Linked DNA regions of Mytilus edulis. The main gene of each other region encodes a partner of the protein of the gene in region 3 in a complex. Links are inferred from orthologs where the notes say so. Each region holds a gene or a part of one and is shown on either strand. Other genes may lie near its edges.

Region 1 (7,957 bases), on a different chromosome or scaffold from region 3:
CTTGTGCCAAATAATTTGTGGGTATACCTGTAAGATACCTGTAAGATCGTTGTGGGGCTCATATGGAAGGATCCTATCCTTTTTAGCCCACCCTATTTTGGTACACTTTCAAAACTGATACAATCATCAATCCTGCATGATTTGGTGCAATATTTCACACAATTAAAAAGTTATATAGAAAACTATTTGTGTCCTCATCAATTTCTTAACTGATACATGACTGACTCCCAATGACGGTCTATACTAATTTTAAAGGCTTCCACAGTTTTTGATGAAATAACTTCAACTGGTAGGTTATTCCAATCATTAATAATTCGTTGTGAGAAATGTCTTAATCGAAAAGAAGTGTTACATCTAGGTTTTGCTAATTTCCAATTATGCCCACGGGTATTTGTACTGATGACAGTAAAAAATCTTTCATAAGATATATCTTCGAATCCTTTTAATATTTTGAAAGCTTGTATCATATCACCTCTTCGCCTTCTGTGAGTTAGGGAAGGTAGTTTAAGTACTTTTAATCTGTCTTCATAGCTTAAATGTCGTATATCAGGAATTAATTTAGTTGCTCTCATCTGCACTTTTTCTACAGCATTAATATCTTTCTTTAAATGCGGATACCATATTGTATTTCCATATTCCACGTGTGGTCGTACCAACGCAACGTATAGTCTTAAAAATGTATATTGATCTTTAAAGATAAAAGTTCGGTTAATTAGCCCAAGTATACTATTGGCTTTATTTATTTTACTTGATATATGTTGAGAAAATTTAAGATCATTTTGAAAAATAATTCCAAGATCCTTTTCTTGTTCATCTTTAATGATATCAATATTGTTCATGGTATAAACATTTTCAGGATTATTTCTTCCATAATGGATTTGTTTACATTTGTTCACATTAAATTTCATGTCCCATAACTTGGACCAATCGTAGAGGGCATCTAGATCATTCTGTAAGACATCAGATTTAGAAGTAGGTGCATAAATTTTAGTATCGTCTGCGAAAATTTTTACTATAGACTCCACAACATCTGGTAAATCATTTATGAATATAATGAAAAGAACAGGTCCAAGTACACTGCCTTGGGGCACTCCACTAATTACATTTTGCCATTCAGATTTTTCCCCTTTCACCGCAACTTGTTGTCGACGTCCAGTTAAAAAGTCAGTTATCCATTCTAATATAGATCCACGAATACCGTATGAATACAGTTTCTTTAGTAATCTTTTATGTGGCACTTTATCGAAAGCTTTGGCAAAATCGAGATATAATGTGTCCCAGGATATATTATTATCCATATATAATGACCAGTCTTCCATGACATCAAGTAATTGTAATATACATGATCTTCCAGAGCGAAAACCAAACTGTGAGTCTGATAACAAATTATTGGTTATTAAATGATCAATCATTTCCTTCCGTATAACCTTTTCCAAAGTTTTACAAACAATTGAAGTTAGACTGACCGGTCTGTAATTTCCCGCATCCAGTTTACTACCTTTATTCTTAAAAAGTGGGGTAACTCTAGCATCTTTCCATTCTTTTGGAATTTTTCCAGTGTCAATGGACTTTTGAAATATCAAAGTCAAAGGTTTTGAAAATGTATTTGCCATACTCTTTACTATTAACGGATGAATATTATCTGGACCCATAGACTTGCTTCCATTTAATAAAAGTAGATATTTTTCAACTGTATCTTGATTGATCACAAAGTGGTCTAAAGATGATTCAAAATTTCTCTCTTCAATATTAGGTATATTATTTGGATTTTCAGCAGTAAATACACTGGTAAAAAAGTCATTTAATACAGTCGCTTTTTCCTTGTCGGAAGTAGTTAAGTTCCCATTTGGTTTCATGAGGTTTGATACTGCTGATTTTGATTTCACTTTACTTTTGACATATGTCCAAAAATGTTTTGGCTCAGTTTTAGCTTTTGATGCCACTAACTTCTCATATTCCTTTTTTGCTTTTCGAACGTTCTCATTTGCCCTGTTTCTAGCAACTTTATAAAAATCAAAATCTACTGCTCGTCTAGTAGCCAAGTATCTTGACCAGGCCTTTTGTTTGCGTTTTATATTGCTCAGACAATCAAATGTTAGCCATAATGGTTTAGGTTGACAACCCGGTTTAGGATTAGTTTTCGGTATATACGTTTCGACACATTTTTTATATTTTTCATAAAATATTTTCCACATCTCGCTTATGTCTTTATCTTCAAAAGAACTATCCCAATCAAAATTGCTAAAGTCTTCAGAAAATTTTTCGAAGTCACATTTGGAATATTTATATTTCGATTTACCAGTTTCATATTCATTGAAAGAGTACAAAAAGTCAAATGTAATGGTAGCATGATCACTAAGTCCCAGTGGAGCATCAATATTAATATTGTCAATATTGCTTTCATCTTTTGTAATAACTAAATCTAGAGTTCTACACATCTGATTTTCCCTAAATCTTGTAGGTTTATCTATATGTTGATATAGAAAATTGTCGCGTAAAGCTTCAATAAAAGTATGTTCGTAATGGTCCTCAGAGTGAGGCGTAGTCCAAAAGTTCCAATCAATATCACGCATATTAAAGTCTCCCGTTATTAAAATATTGTTATACAATCGAGCTGCTTCATTCAAAAGTCCAATAATATTTAAACATGAGTTTTGATTTGATGGGCTTCTGTATATTGAGCCTATCAATACAGTCTTATTGTCTTTTACCCAATTACACCATATACTTGCCTTTTTCATTTTTTAAAGGGACTGCTCCAGCAGTCGACTGGATCGGCACATTGCTCGACATCTCAACTTAATTTCTTGATTTTCTAACGGATTTACAGCATTCGAGAACTCAGAAGAACAACAGCATTGTTAAAATTTTGGAGTAAATTTGTAACAGAATGTATTTCGTTTTCTTTTTCTGGGTTAAATATTTTTTTGTTTGGACATAAGATCACTCTGTTCTATAAAACGCATAAATGACCGTCCAATAAACAGAGCTATAATGCTGTAGTTTCGAATAAGCGTTGTTTCTAAAAGTAAAAACTAATCAGTATCCGGAAAATAAGGTTTATACTAAAATATGGTCTTACCCAAAGATATGGTTTGTTTTTAATTTGCCTAGCTCGCTTCACCCCTTGAAACAAATATCTTTTTTAAACACGATTCAACTAAATATTGAACAAAGGGCATTGTAACATGGTTATTTAAACATTAAATATTGTAAATTAATCACTTTTTTTTTATTATTATTTTTTGTAAACTGTTCCGTTTTGTAAGTTTTGATGTTTATTATTATTTTAAACTTGTAATGCCACAAACATTGTAATTGTTTAATGACAATAAATAAAATTGAATTTAACTATACATATGTATATATTATTATTTTACACTGGAGACATTTATACATTTGTAGTATATATGTCTCGAGTTACACTGAAGCATGTTCCCTCATATACTTATCATTATTTTGTTTTTCATTTTAGACATATAATAATAAATCATAATCAATCAAGTGACTTAATATACCAGTAAGGTCTAGATCACTCACAAATATACCAGTAAGGTCTAGATCACTCACAAATATACCAGTAAGGTCTAGACCACTCACAAATATACCAGTAAGGTCTCAGATCACTCACAAATATACCAGTAAGGTCTAGATCACACACAAATATATATACCTTGAATTAAATCACCGACTCGGAAAAAATATTTTATGGTCTGGTCGTTTTCTCTCTATGGGGGAAAGGGTGTGTTAAAAAGTCAATTCGGCACCTATAGAAAAAGTTGCATGGGATCCTTGCTCACAGGGAGCATAATGGATTAAAAACATTTGAAGTGTCAAAGATGATATAAGTTTCACCAAAATCTAGCAATAATTGTATACATGATAGCGCCAACAAGACAGGACGGACGGACGCCCTATATTTCTATATCTCCTGCATGCAATTCGTTAAGACAAGTAATCAAAAACCTCATTTGCAATCTAATTAAAATATAGATCTCCGATTTCGTTATACTACGGAGATCTATATTTTAATTAGATTGCACATATGTAGTAACATAGTATAACGAAATCGGAGATCTATATTTTAATTAGATTGCCTCATTTGGAGGCTAAAATTCCGGGAAAGGAGGGTCACTTCGGTTCCTATATTCCAAAGTTTCATATTCAGAAGTGTCGCTGTAATGGGTCTGGTTTTGAAATGTCAAAGATAGGATTTGGTGTGAAACTTTTACATCAAACATTAGACGGTATGAATTGAATGATGATGGTTTCGAGTTTTTGGTATTTCGAAATTAAACAAGAATCTAACCAGTGTTGGATTCTATGAGAGTACACATGCATACAGGGAAAATGTCCCAAAAAATATAATTTTCTGCATAATACATGTAAAATAATCACAAAATATTTCACCTCGCTCCGCTCGGCCACAGATTTGCAGACACATCATTTCATAATATGGCTATATAGGTATCCAGTCCCAAACCGATTCGGCCCCATAATAAATGATAAGGAATGAATCAGTATAAATGGAATTTGGAATGATGGATGACAACAGGTAAGAGAAGTATGAATATATTGGAGTAAGATGAAATATTTTAAGTCGATACCAAAATGGTTATGATTGTGTCTTTTTGTATAGCAACTTTGAACAGCATATCAAAATTAAGTTATTTTCCTTGAATGTCATGGCGATTTTTATCCATTTAAAGTCATATGTAACGAGTGACCGGTGAAAAATGATATTATTCCAATTCTTGGGCCAATGCATACAAACATCATAAACTTAGTCTTCTGAGCACGATTTTACCATTTTTTTCGCATAATTTTCGTATAATCGTCAATTTATATTTTCAATGGGTCAGTGTTGTTGTGAAAATATGGCGGGTAATTAAAGTTCGCGTTTTGAAGCCGAAGTTTAACGATTGTCACCTGTTTGACAACAATCAACAAAAAAGTATGGATATTGAGCACGTGTTTAACATGTACAATCAGATAGTAGTTTATTTTAAGGATATCCATGCGTATTGAAGTTACGTAATCAACAAGGTCTTTATAGTTTGATCTTTTGTTTGATGTTATGTCTTATAATAATGTATTTGTTTTCAGGTAACATCAGGGACTGTAATATATCATACACTTGTTGTTTTTTGTAATATCGAATATAGTCATTATTTTTTTTTAAGTTGACAATATTTTGAATACTGTGTCAGAGACATAATATATGTCTCTGGTTGTGTGTAGATAAAAAAACAAGTTTGAAAACTTGTAATGCAAACATAATCAACCTAGTTGTTTTATACCCGTGTAAAGAAGACATTCGTCAAATATGCCATTTTCTTTTACCGTACACCTTTTGCATTATAATAAAATTCATAAACATTTATGAATTACAATTAATATATATTTTTATTTTTATTCTTTATAAATATATTTTTATTGGGGCCGGATCGACTTTAAATATGGTCGAAATCACCGTGGGCCGGATCGACATGAAAGCAGGGATATATATATCGCCAATGGCAGTCAGCAGGGTTAAAGAACACCAGTTGTTCGACCTGTGAGTCAAATGCGTTTTGTTTGAATATACTTTTTAACTTTTTGCATGAACAGGGGGTTCATGCTAATATATTGGCGAGTTTTGGATGTGTCTATGGGCCACCCGATATCTATCGGCCGGCAGTCAGAATAAATTTCTCGGAACGTCTCGAAAGTTTTCGGTTATTTATATAGGTCTTAACAGGTCGTTATCAAGTCTTTGATTAAACTGGACCCCTGTTGTGTTCACTTATCGCTACACTGGTGCGAAGCTATAGATAGAACGGCGGACCAGTTTAGTCTTTGATGTGGTCTCTTGGTGGCCCTTGACGATGCAATTATGTTTTAAAACGACAACTGTACACTGTGTGTATCTAGATCAATTATAACGTGGTAGTGTCTGTTGTCTCGATAACATGTATTAAACTAATTATGTTTGAAGATTGAAACACGGGATACTGTGTATTTCAGTCATAGATTTACGAGAGAGAACATTCTAGTTAAAATATTAATATTAGATCGGAAAACAGAAAGATAATATTCTTATCAAATTTATTTAATTCAATCCGAATCAAAGACATATATATAAAATATATACTGTATTTATGTTTCTGAAGAACCTAACAATGATTGAAATCAGAATGTTTTCAGAGTTGCAATTAAGAAATAAGCATTTTATACGACAAGATACTCTGCTTTGGTATTTTTAAATATTCATTTGTACAGGAAACATAAAAATTAAATCTTAATAAATTCTTGCATCATACAAAAAAAAATTGTTTATAAACAATAATCCTTAAATTTCTACGTTATTTATTTCATACCATTTTGTTATTTGGGTTTTATGAGTAATTATAATTATTTTTTTTTGTATTATTATAGATCCATAAAAACGGAAAGTAATACAAGTTTATTAAATATTCAGATTTAAAACGGTCGTGAATAAAAAATACTTGTGTGTTTTCAATCCATAAAGTATGATTTTAAATCCTTGCAGCTCACATCAACCGTAAAAATGATTTACAATTATCAGTCTATGGAAGAAGCGTATCGATAAAAACTTTTCTTATATCAATGAGCGATATTGTCTAATATCAATTGTAAATATGCAGACATTCCATGCGGAAAATGTTGTTTTCGGCAACGAAAAATTATGAAAATACTAACTTTAAAACTTATTGTTCAAATATAAACAACAATTGAGTCTAAATATACATTCAGAAGTTAGTTAGAAGCTAAAGTTTATGTCCGTGAAAAATTTGAAGTGCTGTGTTTTTCCTATATACATAAATAAACAATGCGGTACTTTTAAAATATCAATGCGATACTTTTAAAATATCAATGCGATACTTTTAAAATATCATAGCGGTGTTTTTGTAATATCTATAATAGTAATTATTAGTATTAATATTTGACTGCTTTCTCCAAATTTTGACAATTTTACCTCTTATGTCTGTTTTGTTCATGCATCGTTGTAAATATGACAGAATTTGATGATACTGTCATACACGTGACAGGTTTAGCGCAATATAACCAGGTTCAATCCACCATTTTCAAAATTTGAAAACGCCAGTACCGATAGGGTTTAATAAACAATGTCGTAATCAAATAGCTAAGTATCAAAATCATTGTTCACATATATATAACATTTAGCAAATTTATAATGAACGCACCCAAATAATATATATCAGATATGCTCGTAACGCATGCATGGAAGACTTTCTTTATTGAAAACAATGAAACTAACTTTTGACAAAGATGAATCATACTGTACTCGTTCAGATTGATTCGACAAAATTTGGCCTGTGCTTTTTTGAATCTCCTTTTTGTATACAAATTAGACTGTTGGTTTTCCTGTTTGAGTGGTTTAACACTAGTTATTTTTTGGTTCCTATATAGCGTGGTGTTCGCTGAGAGTCAAGGCTCCGTGTTTAAGGCCCTACTTTGATCTATAATGGTTTACTTAAAACAAACTATTACTTTGATGGAAAATTCTCTCATTCGAACTCATGCATAAATCTTATATCAGATAAACCCCTTATAAATAACTGCTTTCCTGTCCTTCAAAACGTCATTTGGGTGCTGAATCTTTTGTTAAGTGCACACTTCTAAAGCTTTAAAGGCAACGACAGTTATGATGGTACAAGAACAATTACGTCAATAAAAATACCAAATAAACAGCACTGAACGATCTAAATGTATAAATATAGAAAAAATATATACACATTTCTTACGTAAACAGACATTTACATCTTATTCATTTGTTTTCTAAACATTTTTTTTTAGTATTCATTGAAGAAATGAATTTATAACAAGCGATACGGATTGTTATTTATACGATCGATTACTAGTCAAAAACGCAAGTCAGATCTCTGTGGTAACAAAGCAACGGAATGCCCTCACGGTCATCGCGATGTAAAAG
Region 2 (6,871 bases), on a different chromosome or scaffold from region 3:
CTATCACGGCTGAAGTTATTAACACTACGGAATTTCTACAGGCCCAACGGGCGCGTACAAATTAAGATTTACAGGCCCGACGATGATTTTACACGCCTCGGGCTTCGGACTACCGCCCAAATTCGAAGACTGTATATACTAAGTTTACTGAATCCCAGGTCATTTTGGTTTTTTGTTGTATTGCTGTAAAATTTAAGAATTAAATAATCTAGGTAAAAAAGGCTAGGATTTGAAATTTCGGACAGAATAGAAATAGTACACATTATACGTGTTATAGATCTAAGTCAACATTGTTTTAATACTTACACTCTTATTTGTCGTATAGCACCATACTTTCCAAAAATATCATACATTTCTTCAGCTGTTATTTTGTAGGGCAGATTTCTGATATACAGGATCCTGTTGACCTCTGGTGGAAGCCGAACCTGAATAATGAAAATCACCTTATTACTGCCCCTTTAATGAATATCTTTTTAATAAATAAGTGCCTATAAACAGCAGCACATGATGTCCATACAAATCTATTGGAGTGTGGATCAATCAGCAGGGCTCACGCTACCAGGCGACTTGGGCGAAGAAGTCGCCTTCCCGACCGTCACTTCGCTTTCCTCGACCCCCAAAAGCGAAAACAAGTCGCCCTGTTCTTGACGACAGTCGCTTTCAGTCGCTTCCGTCATCGGACATTTTCAATTTTTACCAAGTTGATGAAACATCAAATTTTTATTGATAATTAAAGAATTTCAGACATAAACGATTCATTATCTTTTGAAAAGAGGTTGAAGCATTGTCTTCGCAGTGTGTAGCAGGTTATTTGATAAAAATACAACTTTTTATCACTTCGTGCATTTCTGCAAGTACCGGTGCTTGTTCACTCGAAAACGTACATCAACCTCAATTTCGGCGGCAAAATAAGTTTGTTACTTCATTTAAACGTGATAAAAGTTGCCTCCAGTAAATTTTAATCCATTTATTGCATTAAAAACGTCATGTTTCTTTCCAAATAACTTGTCAAACATCGTTTATTTTTGTAAATTTTCTTGCATTCGTCCGCCATTGACCGATTTCTAATCTACGGATCTGAACCGGACCAGCTATGACCGAAATCCGTACTTTTACAATAATTACTACGGACGCACGGATGGAACAGCTGACAGAAGAATATTGATCCCAAAGGGAAAAATTACGCATTCCACACGCATTAAGAGACTTTTGGTTACATCTAATTGATTGGTGTATATAATTCCTTATATTTTTTATGGATTGTTTCAAACTATTGATTAAAGTTACTTAACTCTGAGACTATTATACTAATATCAATATATTATGGCCCAGCTTAATAACTTTTATATTTTTTTTATGAGAAACACTGAATGTCATACACAAGATAATTTTTAATTAAATTGTAATTGATATATTATAATTTCTTTACATTTTTTTTAAATATTTTTTATTTTTTTAGTGCTAGATATTTAGTTGGTAGTTTCTCACAAGCTTAAACAACTTTTAATTTCAAATGTTACTTTAATTGTAATGTTTTTACTCAGATATGAATTGAACAGTATAAAAAAAACATTATTTACATATATGGCCCTTTATACTATTGTAAAATCCAAACATTGTATCGCACAGCGCGAATGAGCACTTCTCTTTCAAATCTCACCACTTCTCCCTATCAGTTTCAAAAAGAGAAGTCACTTCTCCCTATAATTCTGAAGTAGTGTGAGCCCTGATCAGTACAGAGATTAATTCAATTACACAAATAAAATTATAGATTGCCTAACAATTTAATTTTAACACACTATTTAGTATGTAAATATAAGAATGTTTAAAATATTTACAAAATAATGAAAATAAACGCAATTAAAAGTTAAAATTACATTGTTAGGCAATTCTTAATACATGTAATATATATATTTGAAATAATAGTTGAATTAGAATTATCTTAAGTTTTTTGTTGCTTCTTGATGAATCTAGGTCTGTTTGCCTTGATTCACGTTCTGCCTAGTACCTGTTCACCCTAATATCTATTTGCCAAGGGTCCATTCACCCTCATTTTTTTTATTTGTTTTATTGTTGCATACATGTACATGTAGTTGCATTAATAGTTTATTATTTGAACAGAATATGGTAAGTTTGTTGAAAAATTTGCTTACTTTATTAATAATTTTTTTGCTGTAAAAAAACACATCATTGTTTCTACTGAAATAAAGTGAGATTGTGACGGTTTTTTTTGGGGTGTTGGATAAATCTTACTCATGGTTTATTTCGTGTATTGCTATAATGTTTTCATTGTTTCAAAAATAAAGTGAGATTCCAACAACATTTTTTTTTGTGCTGAATTAATTTAAAATCATGTTTTGGTTCGTATATTGCTATCATTTTTTGTTTTCATTGTTTCAGATCAAAGTATTTGAATCAAAGCAATTTAAAACAACAATCATGATTTTCCAATTATTCAACTGGAATTTGTGATTTTAAATTGGGTTCGAACGTGCGAGGTGCGAACATGTAGGGTGAGAAAGTGTATTGGGCGCGAACGGACCTGATACCCATCTGCACATGGACACAAAAGTCAACCTTAAAATTATACTGGATTTGCCTTTTGCCGTTTTGGTGTTTTGAACATAATTTTTAAGGTTTTTTCTTGACTTAACTCATGAAATGGTACAACTCTAAATCAAGTAAAATTGACCCTAACACTGTAACAATGGTTTTGGTAAACAAATATTTTACTTATTGCTAAGGCAAGGGGGTATAAACATGTATTTTTTTTTATTAATTATTCCCTCATAAAGCTCTTAATTAAGGTAAACACAGTTGTCTTGAATCATTGCGCTAGAAAACATATACTCAATCATTTCTAAAGAATTTAAAGCCAATAACATAAGATCAGATAATGATTTAAACAATTTACATTTCCCCCTTTTCTGCTCAATGCCATTTTTGCTGTTCAAGGCTGTAAAAGTGCTTTATGTACCGAATGCAATTTCCATTTTTAAAACGTTTGAGCAACGTCTTGAAATAGTCATTAAACTAGCTTATAAAAGTGAATAACGTTTGAGTTTGTAATTTAATTTATAGGTATCATAATTTGTCAAGAATAAAAAATGATCACAACTTGAATACATTGTCTTCAATTTTCTAATTTTATTCTTTTAGTCTAGAGAGTATACGTCGATGTGACGTCACCCGTAATGACAATTTAGCAACTTCCGGCAACACTGTGAATCACACTCAGGTGTAGGAAAGAAATACTGACTGAAAATGTCAACTCCAACCAGTGACACCCCAGACAAATCAGCTGGTAGGCATTAGTTCACAGTCTTTCAACAGTATAGACCCAAATTATGTTCTAAATGTTGAGCCACGAATCAAAATCATAGAAAAACTGCCCGGTCTTCCTAAAACTGTCAACAACACGCAAAAAGCTTTCAACGTGTACATAAGACGTAGAAATGTACATATATTTATCCGGACTCATTATGGACATTTGTGCACTCTCAATATAGCCATAGATTGAAGTGCAACATTAAAAATCGCTTTTAAAACATGTTAAAGAGGTCTATAAAATGAGTAAATCACTTTTTGAGTCTGAAGCAATTTTTTCATTTCAGTGGCGGATCCAGAACTTTTCATAAGGGGGTCCACTGACTGACCTAAGGAAGGGGGCCCCTGTTCCAGTCAAGCTTCAGTGGTACCCTTTATTTAATCAACCAAATTTTTCTAACGAAAAGGGGGGGGGCCTGGCCCCCCTGGATCCGCCCATGGATTTAAGCCCTATATAAAGTTTCTAAGGGATATTAAAAAGTGCTTTCAAAACATGTTATAGAGGTCTATAAAATGAGTAAACTGCATATTGAATCTGAAGCAATTTTCTGATTTATACCCTATATACAAATGTATCATGTATATTAAGTTTCTACATTGTTCTAAGGGACATAATTTTCTTACTAACTTACTCATAAAAAACTTGACCTTTCTACAACAGCAGCACTAATCTGTAAACATGAAGCAGAAAAAATATGAGGCAGGCATTAACTATGAAAGGGGAAGAAGTCTGTATGAATTTTTTTTTAAATCAAACATATTTTAAAGGGATAATTCACGAATTTTTACTTATCAGCTAGTTTTGTTCATTGTACCATAAACAACATATTCACCAAGATTTATCTGGATATGAACAGCAATAAAGGAGAAAATTGAAAATTATTTATTTTATTTCTTTGAACTTCCTGACTTACATGACTTATGTGACGTAGTTTTAAGTCTTCTTGCATGCCGGGAGTTGAAATAATCTCATTGTAAATCTTAATCGTTATTCATCTTATAACGCTATTTGAAGCGCATCGACAACGTTTGGTGTAGCTATTAACCAACTAATAATTAAGATGGAATAGTGATCAGCTTAAAATAAGAATGTACGATTTATATTTTAATATTTTCTGAAATGATTATAGTGATACAAGTAAGTCATATAAAAGAATATTTTGATGATATTTTGAACAGACATATATAAGGCCACGGTTTTTTAATTTGTTGGTTTACGGATTTTCTCCATGAAAAAGTCGGGTCGGTCGGTCGGGAAAAAAGAAAAAAAAAGATCTTTCAAGACAGAAAACCATATGCAAAATAAAAATATATTTCACCTTTCTAATAATATGTTTGTCATACTATTTTTCATCGTTCTTAAATTTTAGTTTGATGAAATATTATTGCTCAGCTGTAAACATCGCATGACATTGTCTAATAATTTCCCGTAAAAAAAGGGGGGGTACACTGACAAAGACGAAATTAAATCGTCATTTCACAAACAAGAAAAACAGATTCACGTCAGTTATTTGACTTAGCTTTTAATCAAAACTTGGTGAAAAATAATAAGCACCAAAACTGATAAAGAAAAAAAGTAAAAACGTCGTACGAAAATAAGTTTCAACACACGTGTCAAAAACGTAATAGACTCGTCCACTGGAAAAAACGAGAATATCAGGTTAAATAATCTGTTGTTATGCATTCCCGTTTTTTATCCAAATGGACGATATTTTTTTATTATCTGTAAAACAAGAAAATATCAAATGATTTGTTAAAATTCAGTATTTTAACTTGATTTCTTGAACTTCCACCTGTCCACATTTGGACAAGTCTATTTATACGAGAACATGCATCTTACGGACTGGTGACAAATAAGGGAAACGAACTCATTGTGTAATTTGTTTTAAACACAGGTTTCGTTCCGCAAAATTATTTGCGCAAACGACATTTCAAGGTCATTAATAATTGATTTGTCTATTTTTAGAAACGTAAACTGAAAGATTCATTTTTCACAACAGAAAGTGTCATCACTTCTGTTAGTGATTAATGCATTTCATTTCATAAAAAAGGATATTTTAATTATTTTTCAGGGATACTGCATTTGTTAGGGTCGGAGAGAATAAAAAAAAGCCTGAAAATTTGATTTTATTTTTATTTTGGAAATCGGCAAAATCGGGTCGGCGGATCCGTAAACCAACAAATTAAAAAATCCTGGCCTAACTGATAGTGTTTTAAAAATGCATGTTTGTACTTTTTACCTTTTACATCAGTCTGTCTAGTAAATATATGTCCTGCTAGTACATTTGTAGTGTGCAAATACGGCCCAGCAAATACAATGTGTATTGTACTTTGACACATAGTGACTACCTGTTGAATGCGTGGTTAAATTCAAGTTAATTAAAAGATTATCATTTTGTATCTTTTGATCTTTACTCAGTAAATTTAAGCTGTCACGGTTCACTTTTCTAGGTGTGAACAACATTTCGTATGAATGATACACGTGGGGAATCTTAATATTTTCCATAAGCTCAGTTTAAATATATATTATTGACGCTGAATATTTTTTGTAAAAAAAGAAATACTGAATTAGTTTAATTGAATAAATTTATGAATAATGATGTCCTTATAAACAAAAGTAAATGAATTAAAAATTTAAAATAAGAATCGGTGACCTTGAATTTTTTAAATAGATAGTAATTACCAATTGCAATTATATAATTGGGTCGTTCAAAGCGATCTTCTTTTTTTTTTTACATATTCAGGAATTAATGTCCTTATCAAAATAATTTAATTCTCACCACGTACTAATTCTTCAGCTATTTGAACGAAAATTTCAAAAAAGTTGCCTGAAAAATTTAAATGTCAACTTTGTCTAACTGGAATGGAATTGAATAAGAATGATAACCTGAAATTTCAATAATGGAATCACCATCGTTATAAATACACAAGCTTATCAAATTTTAAAGAATAACTTCTACCTAATTTTTATACGAGACAAAAAGACGTCAATTGATGTTCATGTACAAACTGTATAGTCATGCCATTGCCGGCGGAATGTTTCTGCTGCCACGAATTTATGCTATTTGATAAAAAAAAATGAAATTGGGTGAATGTTTCACTGAAAATACAGATTTTAGAATAGTATGTCTAAACCCTGTTGTTCTTGAAACAAGCTATATTAGTTTCCTGAGGTACAAGTGCCATAGAGGGAGATCTCCAGACGTACTTACTCACAGGCAAAGCAAGCTTACAGCTTATCGTCAGTTTGTGTGCTGGGTCAGGAAAGGTCAACCACTTGGCAAGAAACACAGAATAATCCTACCGGCTTGTGTAGTTAACATAATTAGAAAAGAGTTTCCATCGTTGGATGGGGTATACAAAGGATTCAAAGAATGTGAAAGTGACACTTTAGACTCTGAATAGTTCTAAAATTATTAAAACGATTATAACCAATACAATTTTTTATACGACCGCAAAATTTTTCGTCGTATATTGCTATCACGTTGGCGTCGTCGTCTGCGTCGTCGTCGTCCGAATACTTTTAGTTTTCGCACTCTAACTT
Region 3 (7,216 bases):
CCAATTCAGGAGCAGCAACCCAACAACATGGTGTCGGATTCATCTGAAAATTTCAGGGCAGATCGATCTTGACTTGCAAAACAATTTAACCCTGTCTGAATTGCTCTTAATTCTTTGGTTTCAGAGTTATAAGCCAAAATCTACATTTTACCCCTATGTTCTATTTTTAGCCATGGTGGCCATCTTGGTTGGTTGGCAGAATCACTGCACACATTTTTTAAACAAGATACCTCAATGATAATTATGGCCAAGTATGGTTAAATTTGGACTAGTGGTTTTAGAGGAGAAGACTTTTGTAAAAGATTAGAAAAAAATACGAAAAATTGGTAAAAAATGACTTTTTTGTAGATCTTACTTTGCTGAACATTATTGCTGTTTGCAGTGTATTTCTATCTATAATAATATTCAAGATAATAACCAAAAAACGGTATAATTTTCCTTAAAATTGCCAATTCAGGGGCAGCAACCCAACAACCCTGATAAACAATTTTACCCCATGTCAGATTTGCTCTAAATGCAAATGGTTTCAGAGTTATAAGCCAAAACCTACATTTTACCCCTATGTTCTATTTTTAAACATGGCGGCCATCTTGGTTGGTTGGCCGAGTCACGCCACACATTTTTTAAACTAGATACCCCAATAATGATTGTTACCAAGTTTGGTTTAATTTGGCCCAGTAGTTTCAGAGGAGAAAATTTTTGTAAAAGCTAACGACGGACGCCGGACGCAAAGTGATAAGAAAAGCTCACTTGGCCCTTCGGGCCAGGTGAGCTAAAAATTACTTCAATCATTCCGCATCCTGATCAGCTTTCTCTTCAACTTTATGATTATGCCGCATGCCATGCAATAAGAATAAATGTGTATCTGTTTAAGTTTTTCTGAAAATTTCTGAGAATTTCTGAAAGAATATTAATACTGGACTGTCTGTCCGTCTGTTATCACACTTGTTAACACGGTCGATACTTCTTTAAACGATCTAAACCTTACCCGATGTACATGTTAAATTTTGGGAGGGGTAGGCATATTGATTTTAAAGGTCGAATGAAAAGATCAAGATATCTTAAAGTTGGTGTATTTCCTTCTTGAATAAGGGGAGATGTATCAACATTTAAGCAGTACATACGTGCGTATGGAATTTATAATTCAACATACTAGTTACTATAGAACGTTATCGGACCACAGATGAATTATCACGTTGTGATTGGTTAAACACCGTCACGTGGTGACCCCCTATTATAAGTTATATGGTTCCCTACTGACCCCCGTTGCGGCGTTTAACCAATCACAACGTGATAATTCATCTGTGGTCCGATAAGAGACCGTATGGGGTAAGTAAGTTTCATATGGGGTTCATGACGCGTTAATGGCGACGTCATCCATTAATGTTGTTGTTTATTTTTCAACAAAATGCCGCAGAAAAAGTCCAGCGTCCGATAAATTCGTTATACGGTTAACTACTGACTCCCTACGGATCCATAGAGGGTGAATAAAATGCATAGGGGACTCGGCCTCCGGCCTCACCTCCCTATGGATTTTACTAACCCTCTATGGATCCGTATGGGGTCAGTAGCGAACCATATAACTTATATTATCTATTTTATCGTAGACAAATCTTTGCCGGTTTTATAATCTTTTAATTTTTTTTACAAATGATTCTTTTTAAATTTCGTCTATGACCATGCATAAGGGAGGGTTTTTTTAATCTAGTAATCCTGTCGCCTGTTTTGTTCGCCTGAACCAAGTCCTGAAAATGTTGATACTGTGTATAGATATAATAATAAATAAATAAATAAGCTTTATTTAGAGTCAGCAAGGTATACAAACATAGACAAACATAAGCTCTAATGAGCTTTTAACCGACATACGAGACATGTTTAACAATACAACATTTATAACAATACAACCGCAAAATGCATAGCATAAAAATTTGAAAAATGGGGTATGATCTAGACGGTAAATAAATTTGCATAATATATAAACTAAAAGTCTGCGCAAACTATGCACTTACAGCCATTTCCATTCCATGATTTTAAAATATTTTTGAACTGACTAAAATTAGCATTTTTTCTAAAATCATCAGGTAGATCATTCCATTAAACAGCCTGTGTATTTAAAATAGTTCTTACCATAGGTTGATGTTCGGACCCTAGGTATATCTACAATATTGGAATATCTAAAAATAAAAATTATATTTACAATCTTTCAATACAACTGAATCATGTAAGCATGGTGGTGACAATTAATATAAAATTTTAAAACACTCAATAGCCATGTTATGCATGTACGTCTAATTTTCAGTGATGGAACCTTTGCTCGTAAAAGAAGTTCAGCATATAAACTAACATAGTCTTCATATATAAATTGTAAAGCCCTTTCCTGATTTTTTTCCAATTTGGTGGTGTTCTCTTTGTTGCAAAAATGCTATGCCATATGTTTTATTTCCAACTGCAATGGCTTGGAATTTGTCGGGATTTGCCTGCAAACAATTAAAACAAAACCAGTCAGTTAAAACAGCACTTTCTCTTTCAAGTGTACATAATAAATTTTCAAAATTGTTGTCTGCATATGACAGAGTATTATCATCGGCATAATTATATAATATAGGGTACCATGTTCAATAAAATAGAATATGTCATTTATAAAAAATATTAAATAATAGGGGCCCCAGGATTGAGCCTTGGGGTACCCCTTTCTGGATGTCAGCCCAACTGCTGAGTACTCCTTGAAGTTTGATTTGTTGCCTACGATCTGTAAGATAATTTTGAAGTAATTTCACTGATTTAGAAGAAAGACTGTAGGCAGATAATTTACTTAAAAGGATATAATGTGGTAAACAGTCAAAAGCTTTCGAAAGATCCATAAGAATAGCTGCCACATACATATTAATTATCCGGCCTCACACGGTGGAAATTATGCTTCGCCTTCATATTTGATTCCTTTTTAGTCGATCAGAGATTGTTGTTGTTTTTTTTGGGTTTTTTTTCTCCACCGTACAGAAAATGAGTTGATCGTTGTTTTTTTTCTTTCTAAATTTAAAAATGCCATTTTACTCTGTTGGAAGGTATCATTGTCACTCAAATAAATTGCAAGCATTAAATCTCTTAGTGATGATTAGTGAAGTATCGTATTATTTTTATTTTTTATTTTTGAAACGACCCCTCACATCTTACCTGTCGTAGTCGTGCTCAACTGTAGGTGTAGACAATTGTTAAAAAGGTCTATGAGTTGAGGGGCAAACAGATGATTTAGAGTCATAGAAATACAAGAAACTTTAAATATGAAATCATTATACCAATTAATATTTAGATATCCAACTAAAAATAAATTAAAAATATTTTTAATGAATGCATTATATTGTCCCACGAAAAACCTTTTTATTTAACTTTGAGTTCGGTCTTTTATTTACTATAATTTTAAACATAAGATATCGGTACATATATCATAAGTCAAATACCACTGCTTACCCTCTTGTAGGAGCAGAACCGAGGGGAAAACATACTTACCTTCTTTATAAACATTGCCAGAAAAGAGTGGGAATTATACACAGACAAATAGTTCTGGCTGACCATAGAGAAAATAACCTTAGCAATAGAGTGGGGAACACTATTTCTAAAACATCTGTAGTCATTACATAGAAAATTCTACGGGAAAGATTGATAGAAATTAAAAACAATGAATCATTCTGGAAAAACAAATGCCACAAACAAATTAAAAACACATCGTATGAAGATTTTCAAAACGGTCCACATAAACAAATCCGTAACATTTTATAAAGTGTAAAACACATCACACACACGAGAAGTCAAGACAGGAAAATTGAGTGCCTCTTTCTTGAATATCATGCACAAGAAACATTCTCACCTTTTGAGTATTATATTTGTGTCTCCCCATACATGCCATAGGAGAATATTTTTCTTTATAAATACAGGAAACCGTGAACTGAACTGGTATGCCATTCTTATCTGTATGATATTAAAAATAACCTTTAATGTCCTTACTTGTTCATAATATGAGTTTCCTTTATTATTTTTGGTTCTATTTTAAATCAAGCTTATTTTTTTAGCCCCAAAGGATCTTAATCCGTCCTACTAACTTAAATAAAAATACGTCCAGAAATCGACAATTTTGATGAACATTCAAAATATAGATTAGGACGTTGTCTTGATTTGCGATATTAAATCGCATTTGGGTTGTTGGTTTACAATGTCAACTGAACATTTCCGCTTCCGGAAACGCTAGGAAAATGCCGGCTTGATCACCATTCAAAGTTACAGTGAGCTTAATCCATTGAAATCAAATGCTTTTCTTATGCTGACATGTCATGATAAAGAAATAAGGTGCAAATAAGATAACATTCAATGATAACAAACCCGAATGAAAGCCCACAAATCTCTACAATACATTGCATTTCCTGTGTTTATACCACCCTTGTTCAGTGACATTTAGAACATACAAGAAAATAACTTGATATCATGTTCCTCATGATATCGGAGTATATCCTAATTCATTAATGTTTATTGTGCGGTATATGTCAACCATGTAAAGCTATTTTTGTCTATTATCGGGCTGCAAAAGCACCGAACACAACAAAAATATACCACAGAAAACCTTAAATTATATACAGTTTATGCATGTTTACTTTTATCAACAGCGCATTAAACGACGCATATGTAGAAAAGATAACGGTAACATGGGCTTTGATGAACAGCTCATACCTAGTTTAAATAAATTTTTATGTCCTTCCCCTGAAACTGAAAGTGAAAAGTTTGTCAGTAAAATTATGCATGCCAATCGCCATTTACCAGATAGAGGGAATTGCCTGTAAAGTTAGTCAAACAACTTCACGATCTGTATTATGCAGAATAACTAGAAATATTGTTAGTTCCACAGGTACTTAATCGTTCATAATGAAAGCAATGCTGATTATCAATTATGAAATTTAATTTGCCGATTGATTTGTGCAATACAGATTTGTATGTTTTCAACCACTTGCTCCACATGGGAAGGAAGTGACCCTGCCCCTAAATGCACAAACAATGTAGACAGTGAAAAAAGTACACAATTTAAAGCAAGAGCAACACTAACACCTTTAAACATGTTAAAACAAAACTAGGGGCGATCCAGAAGGGTAAGCAGATACTGCTCCACATGTAACGTACTATACGTAGGAAACTCTTCTCAAATGAGTAAGACCTTTGCAAAATAAAGGTTTTCACTTTTAGAGGAAGCAATCTACAATGCAGCAACACAGTTAAGTTTTTTAAAAATATTATCAACTAAAACTAATATTTTTCTCAGTTAGATATTTTCACAATCAGATTTTTACATAGGTCACATCGTGTTGAAAAAATCTTAGACATCTCACAACTGCTTTATCTGTATTTCAGGCTTGAAGAATGTATCTGTATAACTTAACTTTACAAAGAGCTACTGGTATTGCTCATGCAATCCATGGCAACTTTTCTGGAAGCAAGTTACAAGAAATAGTTGTATCCAGAGGCAAAATTTTGGAACTTCTAAAACATGACCCAAATACTGGAAAATGTTACCCTTTGTTGTCAACAGAAATATTTGGAACTATTAGAGCTCTTATTCCCTTCAGATTGACTGGTGGTTCTAAAGGTAAGTTAAATAACTGCTGAGGCCACAATTAAAAATATTTTGGTTTGCCCAAACACTATCCAAAGGTTGAGACAGTGGGTAGGTAGGTAGGCATTTTCTTTCTTTTTTTTCAAAAAAAGAAATTGAAGTATCGGGTGTTTATTAGTCTTCATGCCTATCTGATTAAAAAAAAAAAACTGCTTCAAATCAGGACAAGAAAAGAATTTGAGTAGGCAGCTTTTTTCTGGGTAGGTATATACGTAGGGTTTGGGCAAACAAACCTATTCTTTTTTATGGCCTGATGTATGGCTTTTTATAGATCTTCTTTTAGTTGTCCCTCCACCAATAAAAACTGGCTGCACCAAAATAGCCTAAATATATGGCTATGCAGTGCTCAAAGGTGGCATTTAAGCACCAGAAATCAAAATCCTTTAGTTGTCTTTTATACATTTATGTAGGACTCTTATAAAGTGCGATGGTTGATGTTTTTTTTTTAGTGCGATCAAATGACACGCTAAAGTGTGATGATATATAACATGCCGACAGATGCATTTTAAAATTATTTAATTCAATAAATTTATATCGGACACTTGAAACCGAAAATAACTAGACCAGTCTCAAAATTACCGGACATTTGCCAATGTCTGACTGACCTTTGAAATCACTGAGAGTGTAATTCAGTTTTTCTCACATACACAAAAAAAAATTCTATGAAAAAAATGTTTCCAAGGACAAACACTCAACAAAAACTTGTGGCCACCTATATGGTAGAGGTATTACAGAGAAGTCTGTCAGTATAGTTAATGATAGGTAGGGAATTGACTGATACTTAGTTAGGTAAATCAAGCTATTAACAACAAGCTACCATATATTTAATTTTGAAGTACTTAACATTTGCAAATTTACCTAAAAATTATTGTATACATGCCAATTTTTGAGTAAAATGATATTTTCAGATTACATTGTGGTTGGGTCCGACTCTGGAAGAATTACTATCTTGGAATATATACCTCAGAAGAATGTGTTTGAAAGGGTAGGTTTACAGCTGATAAAAAAATGTTTACCACATATTTGAATTTTCGTGTTTTAGAAAGAAAGGAACATCTGTATAATAAAACAAATTTGTGAGGGTTCCACAAACCAGTGTCTCGCCTACTGTTGCTGTAAATTACAGGCTCAACAAAAAGGAAAGAAAAAAATCAATAGAAATATTCCGCTTGATACTATCTTTTGATTGTAAGAAGCTTCTGTCCAAGTTTGGTAAAAATCCAGGATAGTTTATGAATTTTAAAAACTTTAACTGCAGACTGGATGTAATGTTAACTGGAAGAAAAACTAAGTCCATTTACAAGTAAAATACAGATACACAGGTACAAAATATTAACAAAATTTCCTTCTAGATACAAGCTTATGTCCACGTTTGGTACAAATTAAAAATAGTATAAGAAAGTTATCAAGATTTTTAAAAATTTTAACCACAGAGTGAATGTGTTGTTTCCTGGCAGAAAATCTAAGTCCATTTACAGTAAATTAAGGAAAAAATTAATTTATCGTTTTAAAAAATTTACTTCTGGATACTATCTTATGATCATAAACAAGCTTCTGTCCAAGTTT

The links. The genes of interacting proteins can lie anywhere in the genome.
Region 1: splicing factor 3B subunit 3-like (region 3) and microfibrillar-associated protein 1-like share a complex: the UniProt entries of both Drosophila melanogaster proteins name them as parts of the spliceosome B complex. The link is inferred for Mytilus edulis from reciprocal best matches to the Drosophila melanogaster genes Sf3b3 and Mfap1.
Region 2: splicing factor 3B subunit 3-like (region 3) and splicing factor 3B subunit 6-like share a complex: the UniProt entries of both Drosophila melanogaster proteins name them as parts of the splicing factor SF3B complex. The link is inferred for Mytilus edulis from reciprocal best matches to the Drosophila melanogaster genes Sf3b3 and Sf3b6.

Annotation. Positions count from the first base shown.
Region 1 is NC_092350.1:92,500,312-92,508,268, forward strand, and holds the start of microfibrillar-associated protein 1-like, read right to left. Parts: upstream 3,024-7,957; 5' UTR 2,794-3,023; coding exon 2,733-2,793; intron 1-2,732. UniProt on the Drosophila melanogaster protein: Required for pre-mRNA splicing.
Region 2 is NC_092355.1:34,233,662-34,240,532, forward strand, and holds the start of splicing factor 3B subunit 6-like, read right to left. Parts: upstream 3,024-6,871; 5' UTR 2,942-3,023; coding exon 2,915-2,941; intron 426-2,914; coding exon 307-425; intron 131-306; exon of another isoform or gene 1-130. UniProt on the Drosophila melanogaster protein: Involved in pre-mRNA splicing as a component of the splicing factor SF3B complex. SF3B complex is required for 'A' complex assembly formed by the stable binding of U2 snRNP to the branchpoint sequence (BPS) in pre-mRNA.
Region 3 is NC_092348.1:7,220,006-7,227,221, reverse strand, and holds the start of splicing factor 3B subunit 3-like, read left to right. Parts: upstream 1-4,197; 5' UTR 4,198-4,338; intron 4,339-5,388; 5' UTR 5,389-5,397; coding exon 5,398-5,623; intron 5,624-6,558; coding exon 6,559-6,635; intron 6,636-7,216. UniProt on the Drosophila melanogaster protein: Involved in pre-mRNA splicing as a component of the splicing factor SF3B complex, a constituent of the spliceosome. SF3B complex is required for 'A' complex assembly formed by the stable binding of U2 snRNP to the branchpoint sequence (BPS) in pre-mRNA.